2 linked regions of the Drosophila melanogaster genome follow. The main gene of each other region encodes a partner of the protein of the gene in region 2 in a complex. Each region holds a gene or a part of one and is shown on either strand. Other genes may lie near its edges. The genes, in order: rig and Gem4c.

The links.
Region 1: Gem4c (region 2) and rig share a complex: the UniProt entries of both Drosophila melanogaster proteins name them as parts of the core survival motor neuron (SMN) complex.

What each region holds. Positions count from the first base shown.
Region 1 is NT_033778.4:20,625,499-20,643,344, reverse strand, and holds rig (rigor mortis), read left to right. Parts: upstream 1-2,663; 5' UTR 2,664-2,763; coding exon 2,764-4,195; intron 4,196-4,253; coding exon 4,254-4,566; intron 4,567-4,623; coding exon 4,624-4,786; intron 4,787-4,848; coding exon 4,849-5,002; exon of another isoform or gene 5,003-5,027; coding exon of another isoform or gene 5,028-5,771; intron 5,772-5,830; coding exon of another isoform or gene 5,831-6,180; intron 6,181-6,236; coding exon of another isoform or gene 6,237-6,873; exon of another isoform or gene 6,874-6,953; intron 6,954-7,272; coding exon 7,273-8,165; intron 8,166-8,222; coding exon 8,223-8,388; intron 8,389-8,447; coding exon 8,448-8,598; intron 8,599-8,656; coding exon 8,657-8,914; intron 8,915-8,976; coding exon 8,977-9,154; 3' UTR 9,155-9,469; downstream 9,470-17,846. Other genes in the region: Polr3K (RNA polymerase III subunit K), read left to right, coding at 1-22; Tcs1 (Threonyl-carbamoyl synthesis 1), read left to right, coding at 22-768; CG11110 (uncharacterized protein), read right to left, coding at 928-1,349, 1,415-1,508; maf-S, read right to left, coding at 1,799-2,179, 2,227-2,259; CG13436 (uncharacterized protein), read right to left, coding at 5,028-5,771, 5,831-6,180, 6,237-6,873; Rcd6 (reduction in Cnn dots 6), read left to right, coding at 12,497-12,661, 13,080-13,319, 13,413-14,549; FAM21 (family with sequence similarity 21), read right to left, coding at 15,153-17,846. UniProt on the Drosophila melanogaster protein: Component of the survival motor neuron (SMN) complex that catalyzes the assembly of small nuclear ribonucleoproteins (snRNPs), the building blocks of the spliceosome, and thereby plays an important role in the splicing of cellular pre-mRNAs.
Region 2 is NC_004354.4:3,941,551-3,948,960, reverse strand, and holds Gem4c (gemin 4c), read right to left. Parts: upstream 3,919-7,410; 5' UTR 3,706-3,918; coding exon 3,588-3,705; intron 3,535-3,587; coding exon 1,372-3,534; intron 1,313-1,371; coding exon 858-1,312; 3' UTR 501-857; downstream 1-500. Other genes in the region: Gem4b (gemin 4b), read right to left, coding at 5,054-5,508, 5,568-7,410. UniProt on the Drosophila melanogaster protein: Component of the survival motor neuron (SMN) complex that catalyzes the assembly of small nuclear ribonucleoproteins (snRNPs), the building blocks of the spliceosome, and thereby plays an important role in the splicing of cellular pre-mRNAs.

The sequences.
Region 1 (17,846 bases), on a different chromosome or scaffold from region 2:
CAACCACACCTGGCGAGACTAATGCGCCGCCTTCAAACGAGCCTTTATCGACTGCTCCGTGCTCACCACACATCCAGCAGAATGCAGCACCAAGCGAGCGAGCTGAGGACTCCAGTGTGCGCGGTGGGCGACGAGGCTGCTCTCCAGTTGGCCCGCCAGTGCCTGCTTGGTGGCCAAGTGATTGCCCTGCCCACCGATACCGTGTATGGCCTGGCCTGCGATGCCAACAACGAGACAGCCATACAGCAGCTCTACGAGATTAAGGGTCGCGATGAACACAAGCCCGTGGCCATCTGCGTTCACAACATCGATGCGTTGCGACGCTTTGGTCAGGCTGCCCATCTCAGCGACGAGCTGCTAACTCGTTTGCTCCCGGGCCCCCTGACCATCGTGATCGAGCGGACGTCCCAGCTGAGCAACCGTTTCCTTAATCCCAGCACCTCCAAAATCGGCATACGCATTCCGGACTTCAACTTCATGCGCGACCTGTGCGCCGTGTGGCAGGAGAAGCCCCTGGCCCTGACCAGCGCCAATCGCTCCAGTGCGCCCAGCAGTCTGCAGGTGTCCGAGTTCCGTTCCCTATGGCCCCAATTGGGCGCCGTCTTCGATGCCGGTCGAATCGGTCTGACCGAGGAGCGACGACTGGCCTCCACGGTCATTGACCTGGCCACTCCTGGCTACTATGAAATAGTGCGCGCCGGCGTGGCTCTCAAGCCGACACTCAGCCTCATGGAGGAGTTCGGCATTCGGGAGCTAAAAATGATGTAGTATAAGAGCTATTCCTTTGGCTTTAACTTTAATTTTTACTTTGGAACATCCTACTTTGCTTTGCATGCGGGAACACAACAAATTGTTTATAAAATATACGGTTCAGTATGTACACAATTGGAACTATCTTGGGCGCAGGCTCTCCGCCAGTTGGTCAGTCTAGTTGTAGTAGTTGCTGGAGTTCTTGGAGGCCTGTATGGGTCTCCGTCGCCGCGGCAGTTCGTTCTCCAGTATTCGCCAGCGTTCCGGTGGCCACACGATGGCCACTGCCCGCGCGGACATCAGGCCCAGGGCGACGGGTCCAAAGGTATTGCTGTCCATGGAGTGGCCTGTGTGATCGCCCTCCACCCAACAATGTCCTTCGGGTACGCGAACGATCTCGTGCTTGTAGCCCAGCGTGGACACGACGTCGCCCTGCAGCCCCACCACGCGCTTGATAATCTTCTGGGCGGGATCCTTGGGTGAAATGAGCGATATTATGTCGCCGCGCTCCACCTGACTGTTGTGGGTGCCCCAGCGCAGCAGGAACACATAGTCCTTTTCATCCGGCACGGGATTGAGAGCGGGCTGCATGGAGATGCCTGCAAAAAGTTGTGGATTAATTAGCGCACACTAACATGGAGCGAATAAACTCCGGACGACTCACCATCCACCCTGGCCACATAACCAACGCAGTCCAGGAAAGTGACGCCAAGTGGCAGAGCGTACAGCAAGGACTTGCCAAAGAACCGAAATGCCATGGATGAACTGGTTGGAGAGCGGAGCTATCGAGATGAATACATAACCACCAGCCTTTTGCCGAGTTCCTTGTGCGCTCCGGATCTTATGACATTCGCAGCGCAGCGCCGACACGGGTTTTGTTTATGCTAAATACAGGGTGCTTCAATAAAGGCGATGCAGAGGTTCTTGAGCAGATTACGTTTATTGAGGAAGGATATTTGCCAGCTATTGTACTTTAGTTACAGGTGTTTTTTTCCGTTTTGGGTTTATTGTAATTTTGACAGAAACAGGAATGTGACTGGGCAATCGTTCAGCAGCCCTCCAGCTCGCTGGGAATGGGTATCTCGTTCTGGATGGCGAACTGCAGCAGCGCCTTGTACTTGTTCTTCCAGTTGGACACCTCGCGGCGCACCTGCTCGTTGTCCTCGTGCATCTGCTCCAGTTCCGTCCACTCGTACGACTTCTTAGTCTCCAGCTCGTCCTTCTGTTCGATTCTCTTGATGCGGCAACTGGCTGCGTATCCGCGATTCTTTAAGGTTCTCCGGCGCTGCTTCATCCGAACGATCTCCTCGCGGTTCAGGCCACGCATCTTGAGGGTCCGATTAAGATCCCTTACCGAAATGCTCACCAAATCGTCATCGGTAATATCCGGAATTGGACATGGCGAAAGTGGTGCCTGAAAATCGCACTTCTATCAGGGTTTTCTTTCTTCTTCGCATATATCTACAAGGTACGTACCAGGGATGACTTTCTCTCGCGCTTTGCTTCCATTGTGGCCGATTGTATTTTATTTTTACGGAGACTTTTAGAATTTGCTAGATTTTTCTACCTTTTTTTTTTGCGTTGTTATTGTGTGTCTTCTTCTTCCTCTCTACCTGCTGGTTGCCATTCACAGGAAATGGATTGCATAGAGTTGGCAGATAGACAAAAAACGTCTGTGGTAAATAGCGGGTAATTTAAATATACTAAAGCTAACGTGATCCCTAGATTTTAGGCTTTGTAGCATAAGGTACTTAGTTATATTTTTAAATTATTTATATAAAGCAGATCCAGATTTTTGTTATAAATACAAGTTCGAAAATAACAAATTTATATTTTAATTATTATCAATTTTAATTAACTGTTAAGTTCCGTGCCTTCCAGGTGGCATCGCTGGCAAAGTTTAAGAAGCTGCCTAACACTAACAGCTTTACAGAAGTTTTTTCCCCGAACGACGCCAACTGTTAGCGGGAAATATTCCTTCATCCTGCAGATGCCAAGTCCTTATTGTTCGCCATGAACTCGCAGGTGATGTACCACAATGTGCCCACACCGCCGGGCAACGTATCTTTGGCGGCCGCTGCTCCCGACGGCGGTTTGCTGTACGCCGGCATTCGCTGCATCAACTACATATCCGCGCCGCCGGCAAACGGAGAGCAGCCCCAAGTGGTGACCATGTCGACGCGGATCAACATACTGGCCCTGGACGTTAGTCCCATGTGGGGCTTGGGCAACGGTGGGCCGACCAAGCCATTCGCCATTGTGGGCGACGATCTAAGCGTTCAGGTGTGGGACTGCGCATTGGGCGAAGCCGTCATCGGGCACAAGGCCCATCAGCACCAGCACGAGGCGCGGGATGTGCGCGTCGTGCACCACACTACCAACTCCGTGCTGATGAGCTACCTGGCCAATGGTAACATTCTATCCATGGACGCCAGTGATCTGGTCATCTATTGTGTGGCATCCAACACCTACTGCCGTCGCTCCACTTTCATCTCGCCCCGAAATCACCAACTCACTATGGTGCGCTGCTCGCCCTACAATGACAATTTGTTCGCTGTGGGAACGGCTATGGGTAATGTGCTGGTCTGCGATCTGCGCAAAATGAACATCGTCTACAAGTTCCACGGCCACAAAGCGCCCATATGCGGCTTAGCCTGGCGGGAGGTGCCTGCTGCCGAGGACGAAAAAACCAATAATCTGGCGTTAAGTGCTGAAGAGTGGCGAAGCCGCAATGGCGGCCAGGAGGAGAAACCCAAGACAAAGCCACCACCACTGACCAAATCGAAGGCAGCCGAATCCGACGACCCTTTCGACATATACAACTTTGATCATCTTGAGTACGAGTTCGGTGCACCTATAGCTGAACGCCGCCGCAAATCTTCAGAGGATTGTGGCGGCGAATTTGTGGGTCTAGAGAAGCCAGCTGGTGCCGCTGTCTTAGATTTCGTTGAGGCCTGCGAGAGTGTGAAAGCCGAACTCTTAGCCAGTCGCCAGGAGGATAAAACGCAGCACGTGGAGGTCACGCTGCATGACTGCGAGCCCACAAAGCCTACGGGTCCCTTAAGTGATGCCAGCACCATTAGCAACAAGAACGATGCCAGCGACTCGACCGAGGGCAGTCTGGAGGTCATCCAGTACAGCTCGTCCAGTGATGATGCCGTGATCGTCGATGGCGAGGCAGCAAAGCCCAAAAGAGAAGTATTGCATCACATCTACCACCAGGCCGAGGTACATGCTTCAGGAACACCGCAGACCAAGTCTGAGCCTCAGAGTAATCTCCAAGTTGTGCCGGCCATCAGCGCGGAGACCATCAGCTTGACATCCGTGAACAGCACCCACTTGGAAACTCTGCTCGTGTCCATTGACGGCGATGAGGTGATGATGATCTGGAATACCAATACGGGAGCGCATGCTGGCAAGAACTACAGCAAAAGCAAGACGGCGGGTAAGTGGAAAGAATCAAACCATTGAAAGCAAGCATTCAACTGGGATCTTTTCTTCAGGCAAGCTTAACAACGTCTACTGGCTGAACAACCATGTCATTGTTTCCCTGAGTCGCCATCAGTTATTCTTTTGGTCCGTGGAGTTCGAGCGCAAGATGCTACGCTACAAGATCAGCAAGGATAAATCACACAGCTGCCATTTGCAAGACATCGTGTCCTTTGCCTGTGACTCCAGCAAAGAGATGATATGGTTGTGCAGAAACAATCGCCAGATTGGAATGATGAATCCTAAAACTGGCCGGATGGCTGACTTTTACGGAACAGTGGCGTTTGGAGTGCGAGCGATGGCCGAGTGTCCAGATGATATGAACAAGTAAGCTAATAAGATAATATGCCATTCGCAAACGTTGCTAAACTGTTTTTCGTTTAGAATCGCTTTGGGTTGTTCGGATCGCCGTGTGGCCTTCTTCGATATATCGAAGCTCACCACCAGCTGCCTGCCCATCGACAGCGTTTATGTGTCCAGCAACGTCTACTGCCTGGCTTGGAGTCCAAACTGCTTGGAACTGGCCTTTGGCACCTTCGACGGAACGGTATGGCTTTGATTTCGTCTATTTTATTGGATATTGAACCTAAATATACAACTCAACAACAGGTGGGCATCCTGGATGTGGAGCGCATGAAAGTAAAGACACACTTACGGACGCCGCACAAAAAAGAAGTCTACTCGCTTGTGTGGCAGGACCACTTTATATACTTTATTGTGAATCGTGTTCTAGGTTTCTTTGATTTAAGAAAATCGAAAATCGGTGAGTATATGTTCTTAGCCGTTCTCTACTTATGTTGCCGACAGTTGTAGGTTTGATTCTGTGCGTTGCGCCTTCCGTAACTAATGTTGGTCTGCGCGTCGTTGGTCTGCTTCTTACGTATATTGGCCAAGTGGATTGTCTCCCGATGATAATCCCACGCATTCCATGTTACGTTTATCCAGTTTGCTGGCGTTAGGTCGTTGGTGACGACCATTTCGGTTTGACACTCAAAATCTGTCTGCTTTGGTGGCTCAACTACCAGATTCTGCAGTTCCTGCTCTATTAGCGCATCGTCCAATTTGAACAGCAGAGCCAGGTTCGCATTGTTGAAAACCACTTTTCTAAAGGCGGCTATGAAAGGCTCAAATCGCAGCTCCGCGAATCGAGCGTATCTTGGGTCCCGGAAACCAAATGTAATGTCCACATTGGAGCACAGCTTTCTGGTCACCTGGGCCGGCATAAGCAGGCCGTTGGTAATGGTCATGGCTAGAGAGCAAAACTCCTTTATATCTGCCTTGTTGAGCTTGCAAAAGTTGCCATCGGTCTGCAACTCCTTCACGGCATCCATGCGTTCCTCAAAGCTGCAGACCTTGGGCTTCTTTATCCGCTTATGAAGCGCCTGCAGCTCGGCAATCGTAGCCTTTGTCAGGGTCATCAAGTCGTCGACGACCAATGCCTCCACCTGCTCCCTCAGCTTGTTTAACTCAACAATGTGGTTCAGGTAGTTGTTCAGATTGCCCCACACCTGAGAGAGGTACACAAAGTGCGGCTGAAAGCGGGAAACGAAATTGGAGAAATTCTCATCTTTTAAATGAATACATCACTTACAAATATAAGCTCCGAATCAATAGCCGTGCGCATGGATAGGGTATCATCAATCTTGCAGATCACGCATTGATATCGCTTATGCTCCACTTCAATTAGGTACACTGTCTTCTGGTAATGTTCGTTCAGAGTCGTCAGACAGCGATGGAGCATAAAGTAGGTCGCCGCAAACTGGTTAAGCCGATCCAAATGTTCGAGGGGCACGCGGTAGGTCAAGGTCTCGTCCTTATGATCTATGTTTATGAGGTCATCCAGTGCCGCCTGGCAAGTGGACTGCATCTTGACCGCCCTTCCCATACTGGCTGCAAATGCGGCTTCCGTGTTCTTCTGGGCCATTTCCAGATCATCGACCACTAAGAAGTATACAGCAGATATGAAATATGAAATGGTTTGCCCTATATGCACATACCGCTTCTAACATTCTCCCGATCTCCATCGGGGCCATCGTTGTTATAGATCACAATGCCGCCCACGGTCGCCGACAAGCGTTGAAGATACTCTAGCCGATGGTACTTCTTCTTCAGGACATAATTCTGTAGGTCACTTCGACCGATGACGCTGTTGAGAGCCTGGGCAGTCAGCTTAAGCAGAACATGATTCTTGGGCGAGCCCAGACTGTAGCAGGCCACTATGAAGACCTGCATCTTTGCGAAGAGCTGGTCCAACTGCACTTTACTGCAAGTCTCGGGATACTGAAGGATATCCTTGATTAGCAGCTGCAGTTCGGTTTGGAACTTTTCCTCGTACTTCTTCTTGACGTATTCAAGGTCTATGGTTACTCCCTTTTTCATTACCCAAGCCATCTTCATGTTGGCCATAGTGCAATCTTTCGAATTGACATAGCTATCCACAATTGTATTCACGAAACCCTCAATGGCACAGGCGGTTGGCTTATTGAGGTCGTACTTCAGGAGACCTTTGCGCCGATCTCTTGCCAGCAAATGAACCATGTAGATGACAAACTCCTTGTCGACCCTGAGATCCAACTGTTTGAAGCGCTTCATAATACGATGACCAATGCTCACTAGAGTTTTGTGTCGCGGCATTTTGGTAAACAGAACAATTTAACCTATTTCGATGAAAGGAAATGTGTAATGTGGTTTGCTTGCTAAGTTTTTGATACGTGTGATATTTGTTGCCCTTGGCTACAGTTTAATCGATTTCATTTTCTTCAAGTAGCACAAATTACTCATGCCATCGAGCTTTTGTTATTCGAGACTTTTAGGCTTGTTTTAATTAATTGTTTCCCACAAATCATTAAAATGATCGCACAATTAGGTGCGGACCTAAAAGACAACAATGGACTTAAAACAAAGAGTTTTTCGTCATTCTGACTAGATTTAATTGTGTTTTAAGTTAATGGATGTATGTATTACTTAAAGGTAAAGCTAGTCAAAGATACATATAAAGTTAATTTAAAATATGCCATTATTATTTTCTTACAGAGCCCACAATTGTGAACTGCATTTCTCGACCCAGTTACCTCAGCATCCGCGATTCTTTCCTTTTTGTTGGCACCGATGATGGACTGCTGCAGATCCATGAGCGCGATTCGGGAATGGAGAAGTCGTGGTCTCCATTTATCCGCCAATCCGCTTTGTTTGCTCGTTATGTGACCGATATCGCCTGGTGCCCGCTGGACAGCAATAAGTTTGCAGTGTCGGGCAACGATAGGTCCGTGTACGTGATGGAGTTTCAGCCCACGGAGCGCAATTGGAAAACGCTTCACACATTTACGGCAAACACAGAGAAGGCGTCGATTACCTCGATGAGATGGAGTCATACCCAGAAGCACTTGCTGCTCACCTTTCATATCGAGGGAAAGGTGTGCCTGTGGAACTGCAATGCGCCAGAGAAGCCACCGCTAACCATCACCTACCACTGCCCCATGTGGTGTGGAATGTTTTTGCCCACCAACGAGAACATCATTATGTGCTCGGGAAAAGCTCTCTCCGTGGAGCTAATTGACATTAAGGACGCGCTGGAAGGCGATGAGAAAAGCATCTGTCCCAAGGTGGATGCTCTGTTAAATGTTAAGTGGGCTAGCAAATCCCTGACCCAGCCATACGCTCCAGTTCTCACAGCGGCTGAAAAGAAACGGCAGCGCCGGGATCAACGCAAAGCAGCGGCTAAGCTCGAAGTTGACGTAGCTAACAAGGATCAAAAGAAAATTCAGGAGTCAGTTACTGCAGTTATTGATAATCCAACCAACGATAAATGTACGCAAGAAACTCCTGTTGAAGAGATGTTGGAAGCGCTTAGCTTGGACAAGGAGCAAAATAATAGAAGTGCCAAAGAATGCCCAAAGTGTAAAGAGCAGTCACCTGACAGTTTCACAGTAAGTTATCCATGTGCTCTTGATTCGACTGAAACCCAATAACATATTTACCAACAGCATAGCCGCACCTGTCTTTACCTTACCCAGAAGGAGCTCAACAAAAGTGCCCTTGAGAAGCTGGCCATTGTTCTTACAGAAGACTCTGCCAAGATCGACAAGTCGGTGCTCATATCGAAGCTGTTCAGCTCAAAAGTGATGGCCAAGGAGCTCATTGCAACCGAGTGTAATTTCACTAACTGACTTATAGTATTTAAAATGCTAACGATAAATGTAATATTTCAGTGACCAATCTGAAGCACTCAAACACCAAAGACATAGCTCCACTTTGCCTGGCCATGTCCACGTTCAAATTACGCGAGGAGCTGGAGCAGCATATAGCCAACAAGACGCTTACCGAACGCCATGTTTCGCTGGCTCCCTCCGTTTCTTTTACGTAAGTTTCTACGTTTTTGTTGTAAATCGGTTTTGTCTTTAGTCTATATTTCTTGCAGACTTTGGCAGGACTGCTGTCGCGCTTATGCCAAGCAGATGGAGGAAAAAGGCTACATCATGCACGCAGCTACGTATCTTTTTAGTCAAGGAATGCAATCGGAAGCCATCAAACTGTTCCTGGCCAATGAATACTATAAGGAGGCCCTTGTACATGCGCGTATTTGCTTGCCAGCAACGGATCCCCTGATCAAGACCGTAATTAACAATTGGCTCGAGCATCTGGAGGGGACGGGTAACTTTGCAGCAGCAGCTCTGATGTAAGTGACTAAAACTAAACTATAGACAAATGTTTAAGCATCCTTTCTGAATCACTTAACAGCTGCGTTCTGGACAATGAGATGCTGCGTGGATACTCCTATCTAAGAAAATACCGCAACTGCACTCCGGAAATTGCCGATCTTATGGACCAAATCAAACGGATTGGCCAGCTGGGCGGCGTTCTAGATGGTTGTGCTCCCAATGAGCCGATCCACAATGGATCTACTGCCGAGCATTAAGCCTTAAATCAACATTTTTGTAAGCGTACTTTTAGCTGAAACTGGCTGTACTAGTGTAACTCATTTGAAATCCCCCGATACAATCATAAAGCTATTATCTATTAGTTAGGCATTTACAAATGTTTTCCATTAATTTGAATAGCCAGAAACTGTGTGGAATTGAAACCGATTTGAGTCGCCTTTGCTATACTTTTATTTTAATTTAATTTACCCTTAAGAAAAGATGAATACAAGATACATATATCAATGGCACAATAGCTAGTAAAACAAACACACACAAATTGAATTTCGAATAAACGAAAAAGCGAGAAAAAGAAACCGCAGCTCCAGTGGGCTTTAATTAGAACAAGCAGCTGTTCCGGCGGCCAGAAACCATCAGTTATCAGGCGTAAAAGCTGGCCCAAACAAAAGTATGACCGTTAGGCCCCATTTTCGTCTGGGCTTTGGCATCACATTATGCAAATGACCGGGTTCCCCAGCCCGCCGACAGCATCACTGCCGCCAGTTGGGAATTAAGTTTTAATTGTTGGAACAAGAGTCAGGGCGACTGAACTTGCTGCACAACAGCAGCAGCAGCGAAAACAAACGAAACCAACAGAAAAATGTAAATCAACAAAACGACACAGGCCAGAGCAAAACTCTAGAGCGCTAGAGCTGGCAAACAAAACTTCGGGCTGTTGTGCTCTTCAGTTGCCAAACAGCCGCCGTAGCCGACGCAGTGGTCGCAGAGTCGTTCGGCGAACCAAGTTCGTTTCCTCAGTCTTTCGAATTTCACTTTTAACCGTTTGCAAGCGCGCCAAGTTGAAGCGTACGCGTACCGTTAGCGCGGCACGTTACGAAGTGAGTGATCCACACACATATATCGACCATTCTCACGTCCGTCAACTCTGACTCTGACTTGACCTGGTGCTGGTGGCCAAACCGTTGTACAATTAAATAACAATCAAATTATAATTGCATGCAAGCACATTTCGCTTTTGCGATGAGACAAAAAACACGCAGGCAAACGAGTTCTCCGCTCTTTATTTAATTTGTGCGCGCAGTAAAAGTGCCAAGAACCACTAGGTGCTGCTGGTGGTGGTGGCGCTGATTTTTGTTGTGTGTGGCTTTACGTGCCCCATTAAAGTCGTCGTCGGTCGGGCGACGCAATTTGCATGAGCGACAGCTTCGAATCTTTTCAACAATTTGTACTACGCTGAGTGACTCAACGCTAAACAATTTGGTGGAACGCGTGTGTGAGTGCGTCGCTGAGAAAACATTTCTTGCTTGACTGATAATTTCTACGAGCCGCGCTTATTGTTCATTTAGTTTTTGGTATTTCTCGTGCCTGTTGTAACTGCTTGGGATGGATGGCTGGCTGGATGGATCGCTTGCAATAACAATCATAATGCGAAGTGAAAGGTACATTTTACATCGCATCGATATCCATATCCATATCCATATTATATACACATAATAGATGACTGCATTTTGAAACGCACTGGCGCAGCATAGCGGCAACGCATTGGATTGGCCTTTTCATTTTGATTTCGATTCCATTTCGATTTAGCTGCGACTTCATAATAACAATTTGCATAACTTTACCGCTGCATTGTTGCTCATTCATGCATTCGCATCCACTGTTGTTCACATTGTTGCACTTATGCTATTGAACTCGCATAGTAAACAATAACGAAATGAAATGGAATTAATTTAATTGCCCGTGCAGACAATGCAAAATATTTTGAAATGTTGCTCGCATTTATACGCTCCCACCGGGTTCACCGAAATTATGCATGCTGGATCTGCATAATTTCGTAATCCTCGCCGCATGGGTGTGGCACTCAGTCAAGGGCGCTGCGAAATCGCTTGCCACCTTTTCCCGGCGCTGAGTGCTAATAAATGGTGGTCGAATGCCGCCGAAAAACCCGTTTTGAAAATAACTACAGCTCTGCCCCCGAAAAACCGGACAGCCCAGCCAAGAATGAGTGTGTCCAGCTAATTAGCAATAAAACAAACTTGGCTTGCAATTCTTTCCGGCCATTGAAGAAAGTCACAGTCACATCCACAGTAGCTCGGGAAAAAACAAAAAACCTGGTGATTGGTGTCTTGGCTTGCAACGTCGGCGGAATGTCAATGGGGCAAGTGGCCACCCCAACGCTTTAAGGTGCGCATATCCGGTGCGTCGCTCCTTTTTTGGGCCGCAAGACGAAGAGCACGCAGCCAAACCCATGGATACGCCCGCGATGACTATGATCCTCATCATCATCATCATCATCACAGTCGCAGACCATGATGAGCACGATGAGCTCGGCGCACCTGCGTGCTGACGACATTGAGCCGACAAGTTCGTCGCCTCTATTTTGATGACGATGTCTATTATGGGCGGATTACCACCGTATCCGAATAAGCGGATAACTGGGCTCCGCATCTCTGGGCGATGTGTTGGCGAGCCATCTCAATTGTTTACACTCCACAACACGATTTCGTGGGCCAGGCAATGGGATAATTGGTCTGGTTTTTTTTCACTACAAGTGCCCACGGAATCGGTTTTCTTAATGAGTTGAAATAAATCATTAGATTACCATCCATTTGTTAATTGCCTCACATTTCGCATCACGATTCATTTAATACATTTCACTTTTCATTTTTCTTTTGCTTGCTTAGTTGCTTAAAGTTATTACGAGATTTATTTACTAAATAAATTTTTGCAGCGCAGTGTAATTGATTAATAGGTTTGCTAATGCCGATCTAGCGAATTCATTTGTCATGACATAAGTTGACTTGTAACTGGCAATAGGTAAACAATTTCAGTCAGCAGTTAACCAGAAGGTTTAGGGTCAAATATTTGCTTCGACGAGCAAACAAAAGACTTGGACAACGAACTCGCAGTGTCGAAAAGTGAAAATCTTCTAAATTATATAGCACAGTCCGTTAGCTGAGTGGCTGAGAGTGTTTGTTTGCTGATGTCTTGGCCTGTATGCGCGTACATATGTGTAGCAGCCGAAACAAGTTCGTTGCCTAAGTCTTTTGTTCCGAACCGTATCGAACTGGACGACGCATCTCATCGCATTTCATCTCGGAATTCTCATTTCAGCACCAACCTAGCATGACACCGCTCAATTGGGCCGCTACTTAACGCTTTCATTCAACCCAGAAGAGGTCTGGACTCGAAACCCATTCGAACATAAACCAAGAACTAGAACACATCGCATCGCATCGTATCGCATCGCACCACTGGCCTCCTCCTTTGAAAAAGGGGAACCAAGGCCACCCTCCCGCTAGCCAGCATAATTTCTCTTGAAAAACCGCATTCACACATTTGCTTCACACCACAACCGCAACAACCGAATAACACGAATAATGAATTATCAGAAGGCCAGTGAAAAGCAGTCGTCGTCCTCATTGAAGAAGCGGCCGCCGGGCAACGGCAATAGCATACAAAACTTTTGGAACGATCGCATTATGGAGCGCTTCATAAAGGCGAATCTATTCATTATCTGCTGCGTGGTGGCGGTTCTATTGCTGGTAAGTATATCTCTAGGTGAGATATATATCTCCATATCGCCACCATCTCTCCAACCCACTATATCTTCGTCCGTCCGTCGGACTGTCCGTTACCGTTATCAGCGTGAAAACATTTCTGCTCCATTAAGTGAAAATGAAATGAAATCGTTTTTGCGCAAATGTAAAAATTTCATCTCTTTTTGTTGCTGTCCAAGTTGACAGCTGTGGAGGGAGGAGAGGTGCGAGGTAGCTCATTAATTGATTGATGGATGGTTGCGGAGCACAGTTGTCTCCGGCTTTTTATGTTTATGTTTTTCGTGCATCTATATCTCTGGCTGCCATCGACTGATTTATGTTTTCGCTTTTCTTCTGCGAATCTCGGCTAATTTCCATTTCACTTCTTCTTCTTCCCATTTGCGATCTCGCTGCCTCGCTACAGATCGTCTATCTGGGTGCCTTCTCGTGTGAGGTCTCGTGGATACTGGAGGCCCACGGCGAGCTGCCCTTCGCCGCCTACACGCTCTGCTCGCTCTACTTTGTCATGTTCGTGGCCACCACGATCCTTATCCACGGCCTGGTCAGCGGACTCTGCTGGCCGTTGTTCGCCTGGTCGGGCATCATCGGTCTCCTCTCAATTCCAGAGCTGGTCTTTGTCATGATCATGACCACACAGCACTGGGTAAGTTGAATTTATGACTTCTTGAAGTAAAATGAAGTAACTAATTTATAAATGCTAAAACTACAACTATTCTAAATACGACTAAAACATTAGGGTCTGCAATCTGTGCATGGATTAACGGAGCTCACCTCCTACCTGATTCGCCTCATCATCAACTGCTTCGCGCTGATCTGTGTGATTCCCACGGGCATCAGGTGGCGACGGGAGACTCAGGTGTTGAGTCAGCTGCAAGGATTGGCCACCAGACTTTCCCTGCAGACTCCAGCGCCCAGTGTGCCCATTACAAAGGCAGATTCCCGGCGATCCAGCCAGCGGCTAAGTGGATTCGAGAATGCCGGCTACCAGCTGTGCGATGAAACAGCTTCCAAGTTGCCACTAGGGCCAGGAATGGGACTGGGCATGAACAACCAGTGTGGAGGCAGTCAAGCATTTGGCTCGCAGAACGAATTCAACGCCAGCATGTTTGCACCCGCATTGGCACAGCAGTTCAACAATGCCACGTTGATGCAGCGCGGCGGAACAGGCGGAGCAGGTGGTGGTCATCGCGCCCAGTCGCTGATGGATCTGCGCTGCACTCTGCCCGGCATGTACAATCCACGACATGTGCTCGATACGGAGGATAAAAACGCCAAGTACTTCAACATCACCATCGACGATTTGAAGAACAATCTCCACGACTCGCACCGACCATCGCCGCCTTCGCTGATCGGTTCCACCAGCAACGATCCCATCTACTGCTCCATTGAGCCCAAGCAGTTGACACCGCCACCGGCACAGCAGAGGAGCCACCATCGTCCACGCGGCACACACAAGCAGCCACCACCGGGTAAACTGTCCCGGAATTGCGTATCCCTGGAGAACCTTGACGGGATCAGCAAGGTGCAGAATGATCTGACCGCCTACGGGAACAATCTACTCCAGAACTACACGCAGCAGCAGCAGTATTACCTGGCCATGCTGCTTCACCAGCAGCAGCAGCAACAGCTGCACCACCAGCAGGCTGGCGGCATTTACCGCAGGCCATCCAATTGCAGCTCCACTGGCGGATTCGCCGGCACCGTGCTGGCCCAGCCGATGCAGCGACGCGGCTCCACGCACAGCCAGCAGATGCAGTATTACGGGGGCTTTGGCTATGCCAACTACACCAATCCGTACATCACGGCCAACAGCAAGTTGTCGCTGGGCAACGAGTCCGACGATTACCGGAAGTACCGCGATGTGGCTCTTTGAGTCCGTTTTTTTGGTTCTGGAAACCGGATCCCAATCGATCATCAGTCAGCGTTTAGGTTAAGCTCACTAGTTGTAGGATATGCTCGATCTAGAATGAGATTCCTCGGAATAACGACCAAAGAGCCACAAACTAACTCAGTTTCAGTTCGTAGACTAACGTTACACTGCGAGAATCGTATAGCGCGTTTATGCGCCAGTCAATTTGTAGCTTAAATGGGTCTGCATTCAGTTTTATTTGCTTTACTGAATAACACGACCTATTTGCAAATAAAAGTGTACTAAATATGAGACTCCATGGGGATATAATTTTATATGCAAATAAAAGTAATCGTAATAGTAAATATCACGAAATATCAGACGTACTCAAAAATATAAATAGATATTTCTAAAACAAACAAATATCAAAAAGCATACCCCCCCAATAAGAGAGGCACTGTATGAAAATTGCCCAAGTCTAGTTCTAAGAATCGAACACAAATGAACATTGACATTCATTGTTTATTATAGTTAATAGGAATACGAATAACAATACTCTGATCGACAGTCTAACCATCCACAGATCAAAAAGTGTACATACTTGTAATAAAAGGCGTAACTGTTTTCTCACTTGAAATCAAGAAGATCGGCCAATGGATTATCACCGGAGTTTGATGGAATGGTAGCAGTGGGCGTGGTGGTTTTACTGGCAGGTGGTTTACTTGCTGTCCTGGCCGCGGGTTTGGTCTTTTTGGCAGCAGCTGCTTTGGACGTGGAGCTTCCTCCGAACAGGTCATCATCGTCGTCGTCGTCGCTAAAGAGACTTTTGCTTGGTTTCACTGGCAACTTCTTAGCAGGAGCACTCTTTACAGGCACTTCGGCTTCCTCATCATCGCTGCTGAAAAGAGAAGTCGCCGCTGGTTTGGGGGGCTGTTTAGCTTGGACGGGCTTGCTGGCGGTTTGGATACTAGGAGCTCTGGCAAACAGATCATCATCATCGTCGTCGCTATCATCAAACAGTTTCGGCGCAGCCTGTGACTTGGGTTTAGCAGCCTCCTTGGCATTCGATGGTTTCGGAGGAGCAGTTGTGACTTTTTGAAAAGCATTCATGATTTCTGCTGCAAATGCTTTTTGCGCGGTAGTAGTTGCATTTGTTTTTACAGAATCAAATAGGAAATCATCTTCATCTGGGCTGGCCAAAAATGAGTTTGCCATCTTTGGCGGCTTCTTTTCTACTGGAACTACATTGATACCCGCCTTGTTATTTTCAAGATCACTGAAAAGCTTATCATCTGCATCAGGGCTGTCCAAAAACGAGCGATATGACTTCGGCGGATCAGTACCCTGCTTTCCCTCAACTGTTTTTGTCGGGACGGAATTAAAAAAGGAATCATCCTCATCGGGGCTGTCCAGAAATGAGCCACCAGTGTTAGATGGCGGCGGTCTTTGGAGCTGCGGCTGAATTTGCTGGGCTGGGGTTGAAAACAGCTTTTCAGGTTTAACATACTGAGGAGAGGGTGCCTTAATGGAACTTCGCTCAGAGTGTTCAACTTCTGGGCTATCTCTAGTCGAAGCTGTTGGGCCTTCATTTTGCCCAGCATCCAATAAGCTTTTGGCATAGTTTTCCTTTCTTCCTCTTCTGGTAGATGGTCGCCTTTTGGCAGGTCCACGAGCGCGAGATTTGTTCACATGCTGCAGGACACCGTCTGCAGAAGAAACAGTGTTTTGTCCAGAACTTGGTGCCTCAGCCTCAGTCTGAACTGTCGCTTGAGGTTCATCTCTCTCGGAACTCGATGATTCTTGTTTCCTGATCAGCTTTGGCACGCTACCAGAACCCGGAAGAAGGGCATGTACATTGATGTTAATATTAGGCATTTTCAGCTTCTTAACGGGCGAAGTGGGTTTCTGCAATTCAGGCGTCTCCTTAACTTCACTACGATCAGTTTCATCAGCTGGCGGTGGCTCGTCATCGAAAGGGAAGCGTTTGGGCGCTGGCTGCACTGCTCCTGCCCTTGCAGTCTCACTGAAATCATCGTAGAAGATTGTGTGTATTCGGGTGGTTGACGCTAGTTCGTCCTTCTGAGGTTCAGCTTCCTTCTGCACTTCTTCGCCTGCATGATCGTTATCTTCGGGTGGCACATCACTAAACAAGCACATGGCACCGTAGTCAGACGACACAGAAGGTTGATCCCCCGGCGTCACTGGAGATGGCTTTGTCGCACTGGGAATGTTTGGCAGAGCGGGTTCGAAGAAGTCGTGCTCGTTGTCAAAGATTTTGGAGGCACTTAGGCTGCTGAGACCGCTGCTGCCAAGCGTTTGAAAGAATTCACTGTCATCCGGCGGTTCGTCGGAAAAGAGATTCGAGTAATTTTGCATGATTTGCTGCGCAGCAGCCAAATCCGCCGGCTTTCGCGGGGTAAGTGTATCCACTGATGTTTTATTGGTGACATCAGCCACCATTGATATAATGGGATCTACGTTGCTTTGATAATCGTCTGGTGGTGGAGTTTCCGAAACGGGTTCATCTATTTGAGGCTTACTTAACATTTCGGGCACCAGTTCATCCTTTTCAACGACAGCTGTTATTTCATATATTTTGTTCTCTGGCAGTTGCTGTGGCAATTCTTCTGCTTTAATCTCTTTCACCAGCTGCACCTCAGATGGTTTTTTAATATCTTCGTTTTCTGTACCAACTAATGGCTCATTCTTGGACATAGATGCACTCAAAAATGTATCATCATCGCTAAAATCTTCGTTAAACAAATCAGTTGGTTTGATAGATAGTTTTGTAGGAGGATTCACTGGGGATACATTTTCCTCAGTTTGCGAAGTATATTTTTCAATTGGTTTGTTAAATTCATTAGTTTCATTAGCACTTTTTGGCTCAGCCATATTATTTGAAGTACTAGAGAATAGCTCATCGTCGGTTAAGTCTTCACTGAACAAATCTTTAGATTTGGTAATATTTGCTGCTGATGTATCATCCTTAACCGCCTCCCATTCTTTATCATCAGACTTTTGTTCCGTAACTTCCATGGGAGGAGGTGAATCTCTGAGAATAGGCACAGATGCATTTTCTGCTATTACTTGATGCTGCTTTTCTCCAGTTTCTATATTCTTGGATTTCTGTTCTGCAATCTCACTTTGTTTCTTATCTTCTCCAACTGCTTCAGGATCATTATCTGGTTCACTTCTAATTAAGTTCTTAGCCTTTGGGGTTCCAAACAAATCCTCATCTTCAATATCATCAAAGAGACTTTTCTTTGAAGCTACAGGTGTTTCAACATTTTTGTTGGGCGAAACTCCCGAAGACGTCTCCTT
Region 2 (7,410 bases):
GATATTTTTAGTTTAGCGACTTTTCGATACTTGTCAAGCATTGGTCGTTAAATTACCTTGTAAAATATATATAGTGTTTTTTAAGACAAGATATTTTTTCTATTTTTTTTTATTTAGGTAATTTGAAAATGTTATTAATAACAATTTGCACCAAAATTTTCCTTTCCCTGAATAATGCCATTCAGCTTTTGACAGAATATAAATTAGTTAAATTTATAACATAACGAGTACATGAAATTTAAAAATGTATTAAAATAAATTTTCCTAGTTTTAAGTTACAATTTTGCAACAGGAAGCAAAGCAGTCGAAGTAATACATAAAAATACGAATAAAAATAAGAACATGCAAAATTACAATAATTTTAAGCTTGCCAAAGCATTTATTTAATAGAACACAAATTTGTATTTGATGGTAGTATTACATATTTTATGTAAATATAGTCGGCCTTAAGGACACACAAAGTTGTAAAATAACCTGATATCAAATTATTCTGATGTTCAATCATAGCGTTTTGTATATTATATATATAATACATAATAATACGAAAAAAAAGAACATGCAAAATTTTATTAATTTTCAGCTGAATAACTTCACTTGCTTGCCAAAGTATTTTTAGTAAGACAAAAAATTTGCATGGTAGTGGTACATTTGTTATGTGCATACAGTCGTCCTTTTAAAGGACATACAAAGTTGTAAAATAATCTGATATCAAATTATTCTGATGTTCAATCCTAGCGTTATGAATATTATATATGTTTTTAGTCATATAGAGATCTGACTGCCTAAGAATTAAAGTGTTGGACAAGCGGCGGAGTTTCGATTTGGCTTAAGAAAATTACACTTCTAACAGCATCTCCTTAACACTTGGCCGCCTGCTGTTCCTGGATATTTATGCCGAATCGCACAGCGAAGGCTTTACTAGCTAGCTTCATAATCTCGTTGCGAATGGAGAATGGAGCCTTGGCCACAACGGCCATCAAATGATCCCAATGCTGGCGCTTCGTGATGGTCTTATTGTGTTTGGCGTGGCTCCGGAAGGCGATCAAATATTCTCGAAATAGGAATCTAAAGGCCATGAAAGCGGACTCGCTGTTCACCTTGACCACTGCATCGCTAAGATCGCCCATAACAGCACAATCGGCCCTTTTTTTAAGGAGCTTTTTGAAGAGATCGTTAGCCTCCTGTGCACTGGACTGAGTTAGCAATTTGAGAAAGGAGCGTGTGTCCTTTAAGGTGTCTTCTTTAAGGTAGATGAGCCAAAAGCCCTTGTGCTTTAAACTGTTCACTTGGTTCAAGATCCTCTGGCGGCATTCTGTGAAAGAGCAATAATTAGTAGGCTTTCGTCTTGGACTTACATTTATAAGAGCGCACCAGTGCCTAGGAATGTCAGATGAGACAGACCGTCCTGCCAATACCACACCGCCAGTTCTAAATTATCCACCCGGAAATCTTCAAAGGTGGCCAAGTCCCAGCGTAGGGCATCAATGGTTTTCATGACATGCGAGATCAGCTTCCAGTGTTTCAAACGCCACTCTGGCAAGCTGGCATTCAGATATGTGTAGTGCTTGGCCACCTTGACAGCTGGTGCATCGTCTCCGTTCTCCAATTTCGGGTGCTCCTTTTCGAGTGCATTTAACTCTGCAGTGCCTCGGGTGATTAGATTGCTTTCACCCAGACTAATCTGCTTGAGCAGTTTCAAGATTAACTGCAAGCTGGGCAAGTTCATGGGCTCTATAAACTTGGCCAAACCGTAGGCACACGCGTCTAGGAACCTATTTTGCGCCTGCCTAAGCTCATCCTCTCCGTAGGGACACCGTCCGTCTTTCAAACTAACGCACAGTTGTCGCGCTGACGTGTAGAGACCGTTGAGGATCTGTCGGTGGCCATATAGGTAGAGTGTAAACTGCAAGGCATACGGCTTTTGAAGTAGTTGCTCGTTCACCAAGATGTTATCGGCACAGGCGGAAATATGAAAAGCAGCATGCTTGGGACAAGACTGAGCTATGTGCCAGAATAGCTTCGAGAAGCGAGTATGCGTCACGCCCAAGTGGGAGAAATCAATCCAGGTCTGTCTTGCGTTCTCAAAGCACAGTACTAGAAATTTGGTTATCGGGAAGCGCTTATTATAATCCAATTGATTAAAGAAGCGTATGCGACGCTCCCGATGATCGGGAGCCTTGAAATTAAATCCTTGGGTAACGTTTTGCTCATCGCGCAATAGCAGTACTTCCATCTTGTCCTCGACATTTAATTGCATAAATAAGGGACGCAGTACTAGGCTTAGCAGCTCTTCGTAATCATCGTTGGACGAGGTCTCGTCCTCGTCATCCCCCTGATTTACTTCCGTAACGGATATGCCCTCGTCCTCGACCACCATTTCGGACTCCACCACCTGACCCAGGAAACTGAGTATTATCTGGGCATGTTTCTTGGTGAGCATAATTAAATGATTTGCCATCGTTTCCACGCACTCATCGTTACCAAAGGCTATGAAGCGGCTAAAGAGATTGTCCAGCCCGGCGAGCAACTCCTCATCGGTGGCCATACCGGAATCGAGAAAGACTAAGAGTTCACCCATTCTCATCTCGGCAACGCGCTGCTCCAATGTTTTTGCTGCATCCGCAAAGCTCTGCATCTGCTTGCAAACCGGATGCTCTCCGAGCATATTATCTGATTGGAGTACTTTAAGCAATTCTGCCGTCTGTCTACAGATTAGCTCCTGGCAGTTATACAAAGCACTTTTCGATTTCATTTCATGCCAATACATATACGTGTCTACGCTAACGAGCTGAAAGATACGCCGCAGAACGTCTAGCAGTATTTGGGCGAAATGCCGCAGATCAGGCATGGGATCGCTTGAGTTGCTGTCACTGATGTCCTCGGTTATTTGGCTGTAGACGGCGAAGCAATTTGGTTTCTCCCGCTTTAATGGATCATTGAGGGTATACAAAAGGACTTCTATAAGGTGATCCATAGCCTTGGCCAGGTAAATCTTTCGAGTGGATGGACGCGGCAGCGTATGGAGGCGCTGTTTAGAGTCCAAGATATGACGATGTTCCATGCAGGCTATCTGGCGCAGCAGTTGCTTATTTTCTGCGGGCAAATTGCAGTTGACAATTGCGCGACCGGCTGCTCTGAGGGCGGCAGAGAGCAGCGGTAGTGTTTCCACGCAATCTGAATTAATGACCGACAGAGCCTCATTGAATGCCTCAAAATACTGGATGGTCAGCCAGCGGGGTCCACAAGCAAGGAATTCCTCCAGCGGCTCCATGAGACAGCAGTTAACGGCTATTGCGATGGTCAAGAACAGTGGGATAGGCGGAAGCTGGTTACACAAATGCATGACATTGGCGCTCCACTGCGATTTGCACAAGAAATAGTCGTGTGCGGTGTTCAGCACCAGGTACACCAGTAGTCCACGCAGTTGATTCATAGCAAAAGGATCCATTGTGTCTGGCGGCTGTATGATTAGATCGTGCTCCTCCAGCAGGTCCGTCACTTGGTCGCAGATCTTCTCAATGTGCTCATCGTTTCCTGAGAACAAACAATGTTCATATTTGGGCACTAACCTCTGGTACTTCACTTACCACTCCAGTAAATCATATCTTTCAGACACTTGGCCTGTTCGTTGTTGTCATGGAATATTTTCTTCAGCTGGACAAACAACTGGCAATTGTCCAGCGGGTGCTTCTCAGCAGTTATCATCGTGCTGCCGAAATTTCGCGTTTCGTCAAAACTCTTCCGAAGGAATTCAATTTTATGTGCGTCTTCTGTCAGATGACTATCGAAAATCGATAGTTTACCGGTGCGTACCGATTATCTTGCGTGCAAGGAATATTTTTTGAAAATGAAAATGTCCCTACAACAAAAAATTTCGCTTTGTAATAGACTCTCTGATGTAGATAGATACTAATATGACTTGTCCACTGCTTGCTATGATTTAACTTTAACTTTATTTATAAACATTTTCATATGATATTTTGTATTTTGCTCAGCTGAAAATTAAATGAAGATATTTTATAAAGTATTGTAATGTATTATTCGATAATTAATTATTTGTATTATTATTGTAATGTTTTATTCGATAATTAATAATTGACATTATAAATATTGCGACTTCTCCAAAGTCAACTGCAGTTTTTTAAACAGTGGTCCTATTTAGCAAATGTATTTAAAATAATGCGATTCGCATGCGGCATTTGAGTTTGAAATCTTTTCGATACTTGTCAAGCATTGGTCGTTAAATTACCTTGTAAAATATATATAGTGTTTTTTAAGACAAGATATTTTTTCTATTTTTTTTTTTATTTAGGTAATTTGAAAATGTTATTAATAACAATTTGCACCAAAATTTTCCTTTCCCTGAATAATGCCATTCAGCTTTTGACAGAATATAAATTAGTTAAATTTATAACATAACGAGTACATGAAATTTAAAAATGTATTAAAATAAATTTTCCTAGTTTTAAGTTACAATTTTGCAACAGGAAGCAAAGCAGTCGAAGTAATACATAAAAATACGAATAAAAATAAGAACATGCAAAATTACAATAATTTTAAGCTTGCCAAAGCATTTATTTAATAGAACACAAATTTGTATTTGATGGTAGTATTACATATTTTATGTAAATATAGTCGGCCTTAAGGACACACAAAGTTGTAAAATAACCTGATATCAAATTATTCTGATGTTCAATCATAGCGTTTTGTATATTATATATATAATACATAATAATACGAAAAAAAAAGAACATGCAAAATTTTATTAATTTTCAGCTGAATAACTTCACTTGCTTGCCAAAGTATTTTTAGTAAGACAAAAAATTTGCATGGTAGTGGTACATTTGTTATGTGCATACAGTCGCCCTTTTAAAGGACATACAAAGTTGTAAAATAATCTGATATCAAATTATTCTGATGTTCAATCCTAGCGTTATGAATATTATATATGTTTTTAGTCATATAGAGATCTGACTGCCTAAGAATTAAAGTGTTGGACAAGCGGCGGAATTTCGATTTGGCTTAAGAAAATTACACTTCTAACAGCATCTCCTTAACACTTGGCCGCCTGCTGTTCCTGGATATTTATGCCGAATCGCACAGCGAAGGCTTTACTAGCTAGCTTCATAATCTCGTTGCGAATGGAGAATGGAGCCTTGGCCACAACGGCCATCAAATGATCCCAATGCTGGCGCTTCGTGATGGTCTTATTGTGTTTGGCGTGGCTCCGGAAGGCGATCAAATATTCTCGAAATAGGAATCTAAAGGCCATGAAAGCGGACTCGCTGTTCACCTTGACCACTGCATCGCTAAGATCGCCCATAACAGCACAATCGGCCCTTTTTTTAAGGAGCTTGTTGAAGAGATCGTTAGCCTCCTGTGCACTGGACTGAGTTAGCAATTTGAGAAAGGAGCGTGTGTCCTTTAAGGTGTCTTCTTTAAGGTAGATGAGCCAAAAGCCCTTGTGCTTTAAACTGTTCACTTGGTTCAAGATCCTCTGGCGGCATTCTGTGAAAGAGCAATAATTAGTAGGCTTTCGTCTTGGACTTACATTTATAAGAGCGCACCAGTGCCTAGGAATGTCAGATGAGACAGACCGTCCTGCCAATACCACACCGCCAGTTCTAAATTATCCACCCGGAAATCTTCAAAGGTGGCCAAGTCCCAGCGTAGGGCATCAATGGTTTTCATGACATGCGAGATCAGCTTCCAGTGTTTCAAACGCCACTCTGGCAAGCTGGCATTCAGATATGTGTAGTGCTTGGCCACCTTGACAGCTGGTGCATCGTCTCCGTTCTCCAATTTCGGGTGCTCCTTTTCGAGTGCATTTAACTCTGCAGTGCCTCGGGTGATTAGATTGCTTTCACCCAGACTAATCTGCTTGAGCAGTTTCAAGATTAACTGCAAGCTGGGCAAGTTCATGGGCTCTATAAACTTGGCCAAACCGTAGGCACACGCGTCTAGGAACCTATTTTGCGCCTGCCTAAGCTCATCCTCTCCGTAGGGACACCGTCCGTCTTTCAAACTAACGCACAGTTGTCGCGCTGACGTGTAGAGACCGTTGAGGATCTGTCGGTGGCCATATAGGTAGAGTGTAAACTGCAAGGCATACGGCTTTTGAAGTAGTTGCTCGTTCACCAAGATGTTATCGGCACAGGCGGAAATATGAAAAGCAGCATGCTTGGGACAAGACTGAGCTATGTGCCAGAATAGCTTCGAGAAGCGAGTATGCGTCACGCCCAAGTGGGAGAAATCAATCCAGGTCTGTCTTGCGTTCTCAAAGCACAGTACTAGAAATTTGGTTATCGGGAAGCGCTTATTATAATCCAATTGATTAAAGAAGCGTATGCGACGCTCCCGATGATCGGGAGCCTTGAAATTAAATCCTTGGGTAACGTTTTGCTCATCGCGCAATAGCAGTACTTCCATCTTGTCCTCGACATTTAATTGCATAAATAAGGGACGCAGTACTAGGCTTAGCAGCTCTTCGTAATCATCGTTGGACGAGGTCTCGTCCTCGTCATCCCCCTGATTTACTTCCGTAACGGATATGCCCTCGTCCTCGACCACCATTTCGGACTCCACCACCTGACCCAGGAAACTGAGTATTATCTGGGCATGTTTCTTGGTGAGCATAATTAAATGATTTGCCATCGTTTCCACGCACTCATCGTTACCAAAGGCTATGAAGCGGCTAAAGAGATTGTCCAGCCCGGCGAGCAACTCCTCATCGGTGGCCATACCGGAATCGAGAAAGACTAAGAGTTCACCCATTCTCATCTCGGCAACGCGCTGCTCCAATGTTTTTGCTGCATCCGCAAAGCTCTGCATCTGCTTGCAAACCGGATGCTCTCCGAGCAACTTATCTGATTGGAGTACTTTAAGCAATTCTGCCGTCTGTCTACAGATTAGCTCCTGGCAGTTATACAAAGCACTTTTCGATTTCATTTCATGCCAATACATATACGTGTCTACGCTAACGAGCTGAAAGATACGCTGCAGAACGTCTAGCAGTATTTGGGCGAAATGCCGCAGATCAGGCATGGGATCGCTTGAGTTGCTGTCACTGATGTCCTCGGTTATTTGGCTGTAGACGGCGAAGCAATTTGGTTTCTCCCGCTTTAATGGATCATTGAGGGTATACAAAAGGACTTCTATAAGGTGATCCATAGCCTTGGCCAGGTAAATCTTTCGAGTGGATGGACGCGGCAGCGTATGGAGGCGCTGTTTAGAGTCCAAGATATGACGATGTTCCATGCAGGCTATCTGGCGCAGCAGTTGCTTATTTTCTGCGGGCAAATTGCAGTTGACAATTGCGCGACCGGCTGCTCTGAGGGCGGCAGAGAGCAGCGGTAGTGTTTCCACGCAATCTGAATTAATGACCGACAGAGCCTCATTGAATGCCTCAAA